Anolis sagrei: one gene and its partner. The protein of the gene in region 1 interacts with the protein of each later gene in a pairwise test. Links are inferred from orthologs where the notes say so. Each region holds a gene or a part of one and is shown on either strand. Other genes may lie near its edges.

The links. The genes of interacting proteins can lie anywhere in the genome.
Region 2: the proteins of KAT5 (region 1) and DNAAF6 interact in binary tests that used the Homo sapiens proteins (3 or more experiments, as listed by UniProt). The two-hybrid records come from large-scale screens. The link is inferred for Anolis sagrei from reciprocal best matches to the Homo sapiens genes KAT5 and DNAAF6.

The regions. Positions count from the first base shown.
Region 1 is NC_090032.1:9,830,613-9,837,495, forward strand, and holds the start of KAT5 (histone acetyltransferase KAT5), read left to right. Parts: upstream 1-3,862; 5' UTR 3,863-3,961; coding exon 3,962-3,973; intron 3,974-4,068; coding exon 4,069-4,135; intron 4,136-6,883. Other genes in the region: RELA (transcription factor p65), read right to left, coding at 3,434-3,488. UniProt on the Homo sapiens protein: Catalytic subunit of the NuA4 histone acetyltransferase complex, a multiprotein complex involved in transcriptional activation of select genes principally by acetylation of nucleosomal histones H2A and H4.
Region 2 is NC_090030.1:19,941,982-19,949,890, reverse strand, and holds the start of DNAAF6 (dynein axonemal assembly factor 6), read right to left. Parts: upstream 3,021-7,909; 5' UTR 2,997-3,020; coding exon 2,819-2,996; intron 1-2,818. UniProt on the Homo sapiens protein: Plays a role in cytoplasmic pre-assembly of axonemal dynein.

The sequences.
Region 1 (6,883 bases):
AAAGTTGACCAAAAACTGATTCGTAACCCTTTTGGTACTAATGTTGGAGAGCGGTCCCTGGTCAAAGTATTCCCTGGTCAACAAAATAAAATAAAATAAGGGAAAAAGCATAGTATGTTTTTTGGGCTATATGACCATGTTCTAGAAGCATTCTCTCCTGATGTTTCGCCTGCATCTATGGCAAGCAACCTCAAAGGTTGTGTAAGGTCTGTTGGAAACTAGGCAAACAAAGTTTATATATCTGTGGAACGATGTCCAGGGTGGGAGAAAGAACTCCCACATGAATCAATTCCAGAAAGGAAACAATCACGGCCAGCTAACACCTCTTAAGAAAAGATTCCCCCAGGCAGGAAGCAGCCAGGCTTTGAAGCTACAAGGCCATTCAATGCTAAACAAGGTGGGCAATTGCAACATTCACACTTGCCTCAAAAAGGCAAGAGTTACAGGTTGCTGTGAGTTTTCCCAGCTGCCTGGCCATGTTCTAGAAGCATTCTCTCCTGATGTTTTGCCTGCATCTATCGCAAGCATCCTCAAAGGTTGTAAAGCCTGTTGGAAACTAGGCAAGTGGGGTTTATATATCTGTGGAATGATGTCCAGGGTGGGAGAAAGAACTCCCACATGAAACATGAAACAATTCCAGACAGGAAACAATCAAGGCCAGCTAACACCTCGTAAGAAAGCATTCACAATCATAAAAATTGGCTATGATGATGGATTCTGGAGGTTTGCAAGCAGAGGTTGGATGACCATTTATTGAGAAGGCTTTTTATGGTATCTTGGTTGGAAAGGGTTGGATTGGATGGTAATTTTGATGATGTTTATGTTTTGGTGTTATAAACAACAAACAACATCATCAAAATTACATAGACAAAGAAAAAAGTATATACAATAAAGGGGTTGCTTTCAAGTCTATGAATCAATAATCATAATCACAATCATAAAAATTGGCTATGATGATGGAGTCTGGAGGTTTGCAAGCAGAGGTTGGATGACCATCTATCGGGAGGGCTTTTTATGTATGGTATCTTGGTTGGAAAGGGTTGGATTGGATGGCAATAGAGGGGGTCGCTTTCAATTCTGTAAATCAATAAAAATAATAATCATGATCATCATCTTCATCAGCGATGATGATGGAGTCTTCTTCTCTGGAGGCTTATATGCAGAGGCTGGATGGCCATCTATCAGGAGGGCTTTGATTGTGTCTTTCATTATGGCAGAAGGGGGCTGGAATGGCAGGTCTTTGGGGTTCTCCAGTGGAATATGAATTGCCTTGGAGACTGGTGGCATCTCCTCAATATTTTTTAAAGCAGAGGCTGGATAGCTGTCTGTCAGGAGGGCTTTGATGGTGTCTCTATGGCAGAAAGGGACAGGAATGGATGGCCTTTGGGGTTCTCCAGTGGAATATAAACTGCCTTGGAGATAGGCGGAGCCTCCTTCTCTTGAAGTATGTTTGAAGCAGAGGTTGGATGGCAGTCTGTCGGGAGGGCTTCGATGGTGTCTTTCTTTACGGCAGAAGGAGGCTGGACTGGGTGACCTTTGGGGTTGTCCAGTGGAGTATGGGCTGCCTTGGAGACTGGTGAAGTCTCCTTCCCAAAGTTTTTTAAAGCAGAGGCTGGATGGCCATCTGCTGGGAGGGCTTTAATGGTATCTTTGCAGAAGGGGTTGGACAGAATGGTCCTCTTCTCTAGAAGTTTTTAAAAGTAGAAGCTGGATGGCCATCTTTCAAGGGGCTTTGATGGTGTTTTTCTGGCAGAAGGGGACAGGACTGGATGGCCTTTGGGGTTCTCCAGTGGAATATAAACTGTCTTGGAGACTGGTGGAGTCTACTTCCCAAAGTTTTTTTAAAGCAGAGGCTGGATGGCCATCTGTCGGGAGGGCTTTGATGGTGTCTTGGCAGAGGGGTTGAACTGGATGGTCCCCTTCTCTAAAAGTTTTTTTAAAGCAAAGGCTGGACATCCAACTGTCGGAAGGGCTTTAATTGTGTCTTAATGGCAGAAGGGGGCCAGAGACTGGTGGAGTCTCCTTCTCCGGAGGTTTTTCAAAGCAGAGGCTGGACGTCCATCTGTCGGGAGGGCTTTAATTGTGTCTTAATGACAGAAGGGGGCCAGGGACTGGTGGAGTCTCCTTCTCCTGAGGTTTTTCAAAGCAGAGGCTGGACGTCCATCTGTCGGGAGGGCTTTAATTGTGTCTTAATGGCAGAAGGGGGCCAGGGACTGGTGGAGTCTCCTTCTCCGGAGGTTTTTCAAAGCAGAGGCTGGACGTCCATCTGTCGGGAGGGCTTTAATTGTGTCTTAATGGCAGAAGGGGGCCAGAGACTGGTGGAGTCTCCTTCTCCTGAGGTTTTTCAAAGCAGAGGCTGGACGTCCATCTGTCGGGAGGGCTTTAATTGTGTCCTTATAGCAGAAGGAGGATAGAGACTGGTGGAGTCTCCTTCTCCTGAGGTTTTTTAAAACAAAGGCTGGACGTCCATCTGTCGGGAGGGCTTTAATTGTGTCTTAATGGCAGAAGGAGGCTACAGACGGGTGGAGTCTCCTTCTCCTGAGGTTTTTCAAAGCAGAGGCTGGATGGCCATCTGTTGGGAGGGCTTTAATTGTGTCTTAATGGCAGAAGGAGGCTACAGACGGGTGGAGTCTCCTTCTCCTGAGGTTTTTCAAAGCAGAGGCTGGACGTCCATCTGTCGGGAGGGCTTTAATTGTGTCCTTATAGCAGAAGGAGGCTAGAGACAGATGGAGTCTCCTTCTCCTGAGATTTTTTTAAAACAGAGGCTGGACGGCCATCTCTCGGGAGGGCTTTAATTGTGTCTTAATGGCAGAAGGAGGCCACAGATTGGTGGAGTCTCCTTCTCCTGAGGTTTTTAAAAGCAGAGGCTGGACCTCCATCTGTCGGGAGGGCTTTAATTGTGTCTTTATGGCAGAAGGGGTTTGGACTTGATGGCCCCCTTCTCTGGAAGGTTTTTCAAAGTAGAGGCTGGACGTCCATCTGTCGGGAGGGCTTTAATTGTGTCCTTATGGCAGAAGGAGGCTAGAGACGGGTGAACTCTCCTCCTGAGGTTTTTTAAAACAGAGGCTGGACGTCCATCTGTCGGGAGGGCTTTGATGGTGTCTTTATGGCAGAAAGAGGTAGAGACTGAGATTTTTAAGAAAGAGGCTGGACGGCCATCTGTCGGGAGGGCTTTGATGGTGTCTTGGCAGAAAGGGGTTGGACTTGATGGTCCCCTTCTAAGGAAGGTTTTTCAAAGCAGAGGCTGGATGGCCATCTGTCTTTATGGCAGAAGGAGGCCAGAGACTGATGGAGTCTCCTTCTCCTGAGGTTTTTTGAAATAGAGGCTGGATGTCCATCTGTCTGGAGGGCTTTGGTGGTGCCTTTATGTCAGAAGGGAGCCTTTGGAGCCCCCTCCCCTGAGCCTAGAGGAGGAGAGGAGCCCCCTACTCACCGTCCATGGTTGTGCTGCTGAACCCGCCCTGCATCTGGGCGAGGGGGTCCCCCATGGCCCGGGGGAGGAGGCCCGAGGAGCGAAGGCGGGCCTGAAGGCCTTCCCGAGCGGCGGCGAAGTCAGCCCACCCTCCCTCCCGCGGGGCCGCAGAGCTCTTCCGGGTCGGGGCCTGGGCCTAGCCGAAGCCTGGGGCTCGCCTGCCTGCCTGCCCGCCGGGAGCCGGAAGCCTGAGGGAGGCGTCGCGGGGCGGAATGGCTCCGTCCGAAGTGCTGCTGGGAAGGCCCCGCCCACTTCCCCCTGTCGCCGCCGCCTTTGGGTCTCTCTCTCTCGCCCCGCCCCCTTTATGCAAATCTGGAACCAAAAGGGGGCGGGACTTATGCAAACCCGGAAAGGGCGCGAGGGAGAAGTAGGAACCTAGAAGAACAACAACAAAGAAAATGGCGCCTGGCGGAAGTGGATTCTCTCCTCCCGGAAGTAGTTCCCGTCGATGCCGGAAAAGAAGGCCCTGACGAACGGCGAGGGTCCAAGATGGCGGAGGTGGTAAGTGAGGAAACCAGAAGGGATTTTTTGGAAAGGGAAAGGGAAGGGGAAAACGGTGGGAAACGCTGCCGGCTCCACATGGGTCTCCGTTGCAGGAGGAAGTCACCGAGGGCTGCCGCCTGCCCGTGCTGCGCCGGAACCAGGACAACGAGGACGAGTGGCGTGAGTGAGGGGCGGGGCTACAAGGCGGTGGGCGGGGCCAAGGGGTGTGATTGACGGGTTGGTTCCAGAGGTGAATAGCGGCGCCCATCTCGTTGGCGGGACTATAAAGTGGTGGGCGGGGCCAAGGGGTTGTGATTGACGGGTTGGTTCCTGAGGTGAATAGCGGCGCCCATCTCGTGGGCGGGGCTACGAGGCGGTGGGCGGGGCCAAGGGGGTGTGATTGACGGGTTGGTTCCTGAGGTGAATAGCGGCGCCCATCTCGTGGGCGGGACTATAAAGCGGTGGGCGGGGCCAAGGGGGTGTGATTGACGGGTTGCTTCCTGAGGTGAACAGCAGCGCCCATCCCGTGGGCGGGGCTACGAGGCGGTGGGCGGGGCCAAGGGGGTGTGATTGACGGGTTGGTTCCTGAGGTGAATAGCGGCGCCCATCTTGTGGGCGGGGCTACAATGCGGTGGGCGGGGCCAAGGGGTGTGATTGACGGGTTGGCTCCAGAGTTGAACAGCGGCGCCCATCTCGTGGGCGGGGCTACAAGGTGGTGGGCGGGGCCAAGGGGGTGATTGACGGGTTGGTTCCAGAGGTGAATAGCGGCGCCCATCCCGTGGGCGGGGCTACAAGGCGGTGGGCGGGGCCAATGGGGTGTGATTGACGGGTTGGTTCCAGAGGTGAGCAGCGGCGCCCATCTCGTGGGCGGGCCTACAAGGCGAGGGGCGGGGCCAAAGGGCGTGATTGACGGGTCGGCTCCAGAGGTGAGCCGCGGCGCCCATCTCGTGGGCGGGGCTACAAGGCGAGGGGCGGGGCCAAAGGGTGTGATTGACGGGCTGGCTCCAGAGGTGAAAAGCGACGCCCATTCCGTGGGCGGGGTTACAAGGCGGTGGGCGGGGCCAAGGGGGTGATTGATGGATGGGTTCCAGAGGTGAGCAGCGGCGCCCATCCCTTGAGCTGGCCAATCCCATTGGCATCCAGGATGGTCTGTCAGCAGGGAGTCCTGGCGCTGGGATCTGAATCCCTCCCAGGCGGATGGCTATTGTGTCCCTGAGAGTAAGTATGGTCTAAGGATATACACCCAGTCCATCACAACAATAGAAAAAAAATATAAAATGAAATAATAAATAAAATAATAACATAATATAGGATAAAACCATAAAATACAATAGTAAATAAAATAATTCTATAATATAATATATAAAACAATAAAATACAATAGTAAATAAAATAATTCTATAATATAATATATAAAAAATACAATACAACGGTAAATAAAATAATTCTATAATATAATAAATAAAATTATAATAGAATAAAATAAGTAAATTTATAATTTATAATTTTTATTATTATTATTATTATTTGCTTTATTTCTATACCGTATTTTTCAGCCCTTAACAGGCGACTCAATAGAATAGAATACAATAATAAATAAAATGTTAAAATGATTATTTTAATAAGTATAAAATAATCATAAATAAAATAGAAAATAAAATAATAAACGAAATGATTATTTCAGAATGTAATATACGATCAATAAAGTAATAAAATATTAATTAAAATAATTATAATCTAATAAATAAAATAATAAATAAAATAAATAAAATAAAAGAATAATAGTATATAAATATATATAATATAAATATAATATAAAAGAATAATATAATACATAAAGATAAAATACAATAGTAAATGAAATAATTTTATAACATACTAAATAAAATGATAATATAATAAAATAAGTAAATTTATAAAAGAATACTATAATAAATATAATATTAAAATAATTATGGGTTTTAATAAATATAAAATAATCATAAAATAAAAAATGAAATAATTATTTTATAGTGTAGTATATGATAAATAAAGTAATAAAATACTAATTAAAATAATTCTATAATATAATAAATAAATACAATAGTAAATATAATAATAAAATAATAGTAAATAAAACAATAATGTATAATATAATGTAATATAATCAATAAAACAATAAATACGATAGTAAATAAAGTAATTATATAATATAATAAATAAAACTATAATATAATAGAATAAGTAAATCTATAAGAATGCAATAATAATAAAGTAAAATATTAAAATAATTATGTATTTTAATAAATATCGAATAATAAATAAAATAATATATAATATAATAATAGTATAATATATTATAATACTATAATATAATAATAGTAAGTAAAACAATAATATAATGTAATCAATTAAACAATAAAATACAACATTAAACAAAATAATTCTATAATATAATAAAATTAGAATAGAATAACATTATAATAGTATACAATAACAAATATAATAAAAATAAAAAAATTAAAATAATTATGTATTTTAATAAATATAAAATAGTCATAAATAAAAATAAAATAAAATAATAGTAAATAAAACAATAATGTAATATAATATAATCAATAAAACAATAAAATGCAATAGTAAATAAAATAATTATGTAATATAATAAATAAAATTATAATATAGAATAAGTAAATTTATAATAGAATATACAATAATAAATATAATAATAAATAAAATAAAATAATAAATAAAATAATAATATAATGTAATATAATCAATAAAACAATAATAAAATAAAATAGTAAATAAAATATATAATACAGTAATTATAGTAATATATTTGCTATAAATAAAATAGTATATAAAATATATAATACAGTAAATATAGTAATAGTATAATTACTGTATTATATATTTATAATACAATAGAAGGGTGGTATATAAATG
Region 2 (7,909 bases), on another chromosome or scaffold:
ACAAGGCAGCAGGAGATGACGGGATCCCAGCTGAACTGTTTAAAATCTTGAAAGAGCATGCTGTCAAGGTGATGCATGCCATATGCCAGCAAATATGGAAAACACAAGAATGGCCATCAGACTGGAAAAAAATCAACTTATATCCCCATACCAAAAAAGGGAAATGCTAAAGAATGCTCAAACTTCCGTACAGTGGCCCTTATTTCTACTGTCAGAAAGGTAATGCTCAAGACCCTGCAATGAAGACTCCAGCAATACATGAAGCGAGAGTTGCCAGATGTACAAGCTGGGTTTAGAAAAGGCAGAGGAACAGGAGACCAAATTGCCAATATCCACTGGATAATGGAGAAAGGCAGGGAGTTTCAGAAAAACATCTATTTATGTTTTATTGACTATTTTAAAGCCTTTGACTGTGTGGATCATAATAAATTGTGGCAAGTTCTTGGTGGTATGGGCATACCAAATCACCTTGTCTCTCTCCTGAAGAATCTGTATAAGGACCAAGTAGCAACAGTCAGAACTGACCATGGAACAACAGACGGGTTCAAGATTGGGAAAGGCATACGGCAGGCTTGTATACTCTCACCCAACCTATTCAACTTGTATGCAGAACACATCATGCAATGTGCGGGGCTTGACGAATGCAAGGCTGGGGTGAAAATTGCTGGAAGAAACATTAACAACCTTAGATATGCAGATGACACAACTTTGATGGCTGAAAGTGAGGAGGAGCTGAGGAGCCTTCTAATCAAGGTGAAAGGAGAAAGCGCAAAAGCTGAGTTGCAGTAAAACAAAAAAAAAAAAAACCAAGATTATGGCAACAAGAATGATTGACAACTGGGAAATACAGGGGGGAAATGTACAGGCAGTGACAGACTTTGCATTTCTAGGTGCAAATATAACTGCAGACTCAGACTGCAGCCAGGAAATCAGGAGACGCTTACTTCTTGGGAGGAGAGCAATGTCAATTTTCGATAAAATAGTGAAGAGTAGAGATATCACACTGGCAATGAAGATCCGCATAGTTAAAGCAATGGTATTCCCCATAGTCACCTATGGATGTGAGAGCTGGACCATAGGGAAGACTGAGTGAAGGAAGACAGATGCTTTGGAACTTTGTTGCTGGAGAAAAATTCTGAGAGTGCCTTGGACAGTGAGAAGATCCAATAATAATAATATTAATAATAACACTTTATTTGTACCCCGCTACCATCTCCCCAAGGGACTCGGTGCGGCTTACATGAGGCCGAGCCCGAACACAACAATACAAGCAATTAAAATAAAACATAAACATATAACATTATCAATAAGACAACATACAATTAAAACTATGGGAAGGCCAAATGTAAAATTAAAATTGGAAATAGTGCTAAACATGGACGAAAAGGTGATAGTGGCATTTGTGGAGAGACATATGAGCAGACCTAAAAAATGTAAAGTGCTTTAAAGGGACAAAGTGCTATGGGATCGTTAATCCGGGAAGGCACACTGGAACAACCACGTCTTCAAGCTCCTCCTGAAAACTGCCAGGGTTGGGGCCTGCCTGATATCCTTAGGGAGTGAGTTCCAGAGTTGAGGGGCCACCACCGAAAAGGCTCTCTCTCTCATCCCCACCAATTGTGCCTGTCCATACTTCAAGAAATAAAGCTTGACTGCTCATTGGAGGGAAGGATATTTGACGCCAAGATGAAGTACTTTGGCCACAAAATGAGAAGACAGGAAACCTCAGAGAAGACAATGATGCTGGGGAAAATGGAAGGAAAAAGGAAGAGGGGCCAACCAAGGGCAAGATGGATGGATGGTAGCCTTGAAGTGACTGGATTGACCTTGAAGGAGCTGGGGGTGGTGACGTTGTGGGCTGGTCCATGAGGTCACAAAGAGTCGGAAACGACTGAACAAATGAACAACAACAGATTGTATTGTCGAAGGCTTTAGTGCCCAGAATCACTGGGTTGTTGTAGGTTTTTTCGGGCTATATGGCCATGGTCTAAAGGCATTCTCTCCTGCTGTTTCGCCTGCATCTATGGCAAGCATCCTCAACTCTTAGGTTTTTACCCCAGAGTCTTATTCTTTGTTTTCAGACCGCCCTGAATGGAATTGTGAAGATCTCAGGCGCCTTCATTCCGGTTCTTTGGTACCATAGGAAGGTCTTGTCCTTCAACTTAGGCCACTGAACTGGGGTTGTGGTTTGAGAGAGGGAACAGGAAAAGCTTCTCATCTTACAACTCCTAGGTTTATAAAGTGATTTTCCCTGTTGAAACATCAAGTTTGTGCCTAGGAAAGTGAACTTATTGTCAACAATAAACACCATTTCAAGTTACTTGTTGTGTTCTGGTCCTCAGAGGTAGTGAGGTCTGTTGGAAGTAGGAAAAAGGCTTTATATATCTGTGGAATGACCAGGGTGGGACAATATATATCTTGTAAGCCGCTCTGAGTCCCCTTCGGGGTAAGAAGGGCGGCATATAAATGTCGTAAGTAAATAAGTAAGTAAATAAACTATTTCATGAGTGTGTGATTACTTAGTATATTATTGTGTTAATTGTTTTTAAATGGTTTGTATGATGTTGCATTGAATTTTTGCTCCTGTTGTTAACCGCGTTGAGTCGCCTACGGGCTGAGAAACTGCGGTATACCAATGAAATAAATAAATAAATAAATTTCCCTTCCTAGGAATACATTTCTTCCCATTTCTGTTGTGTTACCCCGTCCTGAACTATGAGTCATTTGCAAGTCAGATGTCTGTAACTCGGGGACTGCCTGTATTCGTGATTTCTGCTAGGGATCGGCTTGAATGATGGCCTAGCCCTGAGGAACTCACCTGTGGGCCCCACCTCCGCCTTTGGGGCCCCAATGTGCCCGGGACCCAGGCTCCTTCCCGGCGAGGAAGAGGCCTCCCCCTCCTCCTCCTCCTGGGGACCCTCCGGTGGGGCAGAGAGCAACGTGGCCAGCGCCAGCAAACCTTCCCCAATGTTTAGCTCCGGCTCCACTGCAGCCATGGCGGCTCCCAGCTCTGCTTCCGCGTCTCGGCGTCGCCATGGTAACCACCCCGCTCCTCTCATTGGCCGCAGCGCCGCCCAATCGCCGCCCGGCTTATCTCCGCCCCGCCCACTCTCAGCGCGTAGGCGCGGAAGGAGTGCGTCACAGATTCGCGCGAAGGAAGAGAGAAGCATCGCAGGTGAGTCTGGACCCGGCGGGGCCTTTTTGACGCATCGCCACTCCCATCATCCCCTGGCCCGCGGGATGATGCCGGAAAAATGTAGCCTCTCTTTGCTTGAGAGTGGTTCTTAAAAAGAGGCCTAGTTCTATACCCCGTGGTATATAATAATACTAATTGGTGGGGACAAGGGACAGGGACTTCTCTGTGGTGGCCCCTCGACTCTGGAACTCACTCCCCAAGGATATCAGGCAGGCCCTGATGTTAGCAGTCTTTAGGAGGAGCTTGAAAACGTGGTTGTTCCAGTGTGCCTTTCCAGAATAGGAAACCACAAGCACTTTGTCCCAAATCCACTTTACTGGAGATTTAGGTCTGTCCGCATGCCCTACCTATTCGCCAAAATACCTATACATTTTACCCGGCCATGCCCATATTATTATTATTAATTCAGACTAATTCAACCAGAGAAGTCAGCCATAGCAGAGCACCTGATGAACCAACCTGGACACAGCATATTATTTGAGAACACAGAAATGCTGGAACACTCTACTAACTACCATATCAGAATATATAGAGAAGCCATAGAAATCCAAATTCATGTGGACAGTTTCAACAGAAAGGAAGGAATCATGAAAATGAACAAAATCTGGCTACCAGTATTGAAAAAGTTCTAAAATCAGGACAGTAAATAAAGAACAGCACCCTGAAAACAGGAATTCCAGACAGGAATAACAGAATTAAAGAGTTGGAAGAGACCTCATGGGCCATCCAGTCCAACTCCCTGCCAAGAAGCAGGAAAATTTCATTCAAATCACCCCTGAGAGATGGCCATCCAGCCTCTAGTTAAAAGCTTCCAAAGAAGGAGCCTCCGCCACACTCCAGGGCAGAGAGTTCCACTGCTGAATGGCTCTCACAGTCAGGATCAATCGGGGCCAGCTAACACCTCCCAACAAAGGATCCCCCAAGCAGGAAGCAACCAGGCTTTGAAACTGCAAGGCCATTCAGTGCTAATCAGGCTGGCCAGTTGCAACATGCACACTTGTCTTAAACAGACAAGAGTTCTTTCTCCCACCCTGGACATTATTCCACAGATAACCCCATTTTCCTAGTTCCAACAGACCTTAGAATCCTAGAGTTGGAAGAGACCTCATGGGCCATCCAGTCCAATCCCATTCTCCCAAGAAGCAGGAAAATTGCATTCAAAGCACCCCCGACAGATGACCATCCAGCCTCTGTTTAAAAGCTTCCAAGGAAGGAGCCTCTACCACACTCCAGGGCAGAGAGTTCCACTGCTGAACAGCTCTCACAGTCAGGAAGTTCTTCCTAATGTTCAGATGGAATCTCCTTTCTTGTAGTTTGAAGCCATTGTTCCGCATCCTAGTCTCCAGGGCAGCAGAAAACAAGCTTGCTCCCTCCTCCCTATGACTTCCTCTTGCGTATTTATACATGGCTATCATGTCTCCTCTAAGCCTTCTCTTCTTCAGGCTAAACATGCAAAACTCTTTAAGCTGCTCCTCATAGGGCTTGTTCTCCAGACACTTGAACATTTTAGTTGCCCTCCTCTGGACACATTCCAGCTTGTCAATATCTGAGGATGCCTGCCATAGATGTGGGTGAAACATCAGGAGAAAATGCTTCTGGAATATGGCCATACAGCCCAGAAAACTCACAGCAACCCAGTTTTAAAAGCTGTTTGCTCACAGTTTATGCATAATCTCACTCAGGTTCAGCTTCTTAAGGTAAGTGAAAGAGAAATAGATTTCTCCACAGTTCCAAGGAGGCACGAAGTACTGCCACTTTCCCATCCTATTTCCTCAATGGCAAATTGTCAGAAAGGAAAGGTCAAGTGGGCCAAACACTGTGCAGACACAGAGAGAATAACAGGAGTGTATTCAGGGCCCAGGAAGAGGAGGGTGTAAACAAACATGGAAACAGGAAGTCAGCTCTCAGCAACAACCACCAGAGGGTTCAGCTTGCAAAGGTAGCTCTCTCTCCAACAGAAGGGGGCCATCCATGAGCTGCACATCAACTTTGGGTTTACTTTGTGGGAACTTGGTATTGGAGAAACTGGGCTGATCCCAGTTTCTCCAGTGGGTTCAGCACCTTGGCCATCAGGCCTTTTGGGGACCCAGAGTTCTTTCTCCCACCCTGGACATTCCACAGATATATAATCTGCACTTGCCAGGTTTCCAACAGACACCTCAACCTCTGAGGATGCCTGCCATAGATGTGGGTGAAACATCAGGAGAGAATGCTTCAGGAACATGGCCATACAGCCCAAGAAACCCATAGTAACCCATTGATTCCAGCCATGAAAGCCTTCGACAACACAATAATAATACTTTATTTTTAACCTGCCCTTTCTCCCCGAGGGGACTCTACTCATCTTCCAAAGACAAAGATGGCAAACGTTCAATGCCATGTGCAGTGATAGAAATAGAGATAAAACAGAAACAAACAGTTTAAAAATAAGCCAATAAAACAATCTAGATCAAAACATGTAGTCGATCAACCTCATAGATAACACAATAGTCTGATAAAATAGGTATAAAAATATAAAAATAGATACATTTGAGAACATGGCTCTCTAATAAGGTAATATAATCTTTGTCAGCATCGTGAGGCATGATAAAAGCAATAAAAGCTAATCATCTTCCTCTCCAAAGGACAATGTGTAAAAGTATGTTTTTAATTGCTTCTTAAAGGAGAGGAGTGAGAGGGAGTTCCAGAGGGAGGGTGTGGTCATGGAGAAGGTCCTCTCTCTCATCCACACCAAGTTGTGCTTGAAACAGTTGGGACCACAGTGCCTGTGTTGGTTCACATGTGGAGATACGATTAGTTAATAGCCTGGACCTGAACCATAATACGCTACACCTTAAAGCCTTCTTGACTTGATATACATATTAAGATACAGGAGTTAAAAGACAATGTGGACAAACCAAACTTAGAATAATTGAATAATAGAGTTGGAGAGAGAGACCACGTGGGCCATCTAGTCCACCCCCTGTTTAGGCTTCCATACAGGCCCTATTTTCCAGGATCTGAGCCCAGGCTTCCTGCTTATCCCAGATTATCTGGCAGTGCAGACTCATATAATCCCCTTTAAAGCAGACATGTACTTAATGGAACTTAAAAGAAATGGGAGTATCAAGTGGAGTCCACGACATGCGAGTGTAGAGAGGAGCAGACCACAGACCACTGACAACAATGCAGTCTGAGCCCCACCACATGCACAATGGACGACAGCAACACCAAAATATAATATAGCATATTGTATATACATATAATATTTGTAATATTATAATGTAATACAATACAATACTAGTAATAATAATACAATATTATAATTAGAATTATATATTTACATTACATGTAATATTACTACTAATATTACAATATAATGGTATAGTGCAATATAGTAATATATAATACTGATATTGTACTATGCTAATAATATAATATATTGTATGAAAATATATATTGTAAGACGCTCTGAGTCCCTTTCGGGGGGAGGGGGCGGCATATAAATGCCGTAAATAAGTATAATAAATATATAAAGGCACTCCAAGTGGTCAGCTTCTAGTCAAAGGAAATTTAGTACAATGCCACGTTTTTAACATTGTGGTATTTTATACATTATAACTCTCTCCACAATTTGCTTTTGACACGATAAGTAATTGTGAAGTGATTATAAGTGCAGTGCTTGCACACTGCACTTATTTTAAAATCTGACAAGCCACCTGTCACATCAGCACTTTTAATCTGTACCCATTACTTTTGGCCCGGCCCCAGTTTTATTGTGTTTTGATGTATTGTTTTATTGCTCTGTTGTTTTTGATATTGCTTTAATTGTTTTGATTTGCTTTGAGTTGTGTATTTGCTATGCTATGTTTTGAGGCCTTGGCCTTTGTAAGCCGCATCGAGTCCTTCGGGAGATGCTAGTGGGGTACAAATAAAGTTAATAATAATAATTATAAGTAATATCATCAGTTGGGAGCCCCCCAGCACCAACTGCTACTCTGAGATCAGAATGAAGAGAGGGGCCAGGAAGGCAGTTCCATCTTGTCTCCTGCACTGTGCATATAATATAATATAATATAATATAATATAATATAATATAATATAATATAATATAATATAATATTTATAATATTATAATGTAATACAATATACTACTACTACTACTAATAATAAAATGATATTATAATTAAATATTTTATATTAAATGTAATATTACTAATAATATTACAGTATAATGTTATAGTACAATGTAATATATAATATTAATATTGTGCTATGATAATAATAATATATTGTATTTACTTTTTATTTGTAAGCTGCTCTGAGTCCCCATCAGGGTGAGAAGGGTGGCATATAAATGCCGCAAATAAATAAATAAATAAATGAGTGAAATGTTGGTTTTTGTGTGTGTCAAGAGCGACTTGAGAAACGCAAGTCGCTTCTGGTGTGAGGGAATTGGCCATCTGCAAGGATGTTGTCCAAGGGATGCCCGGATGTTTTACCATCCTGTGGGAGGTTTCTCTTACGTCCCTGCATGAGAAGCAGGCACTGACAGACAGGAGCTCACCATGCTCCTCAGATTTGAACTGCTGACTTTTTAGTCAGCAGTCTTGCTGGCACAAGGGTTTAACCCACTGCACCACTGGGGGCTCCAATTGATATGGTAAAGAGACTTTTATGGACACCTGTGTTACTTTCACTGTATTATGTATACTTTGCAAAGGTAGCACTGTG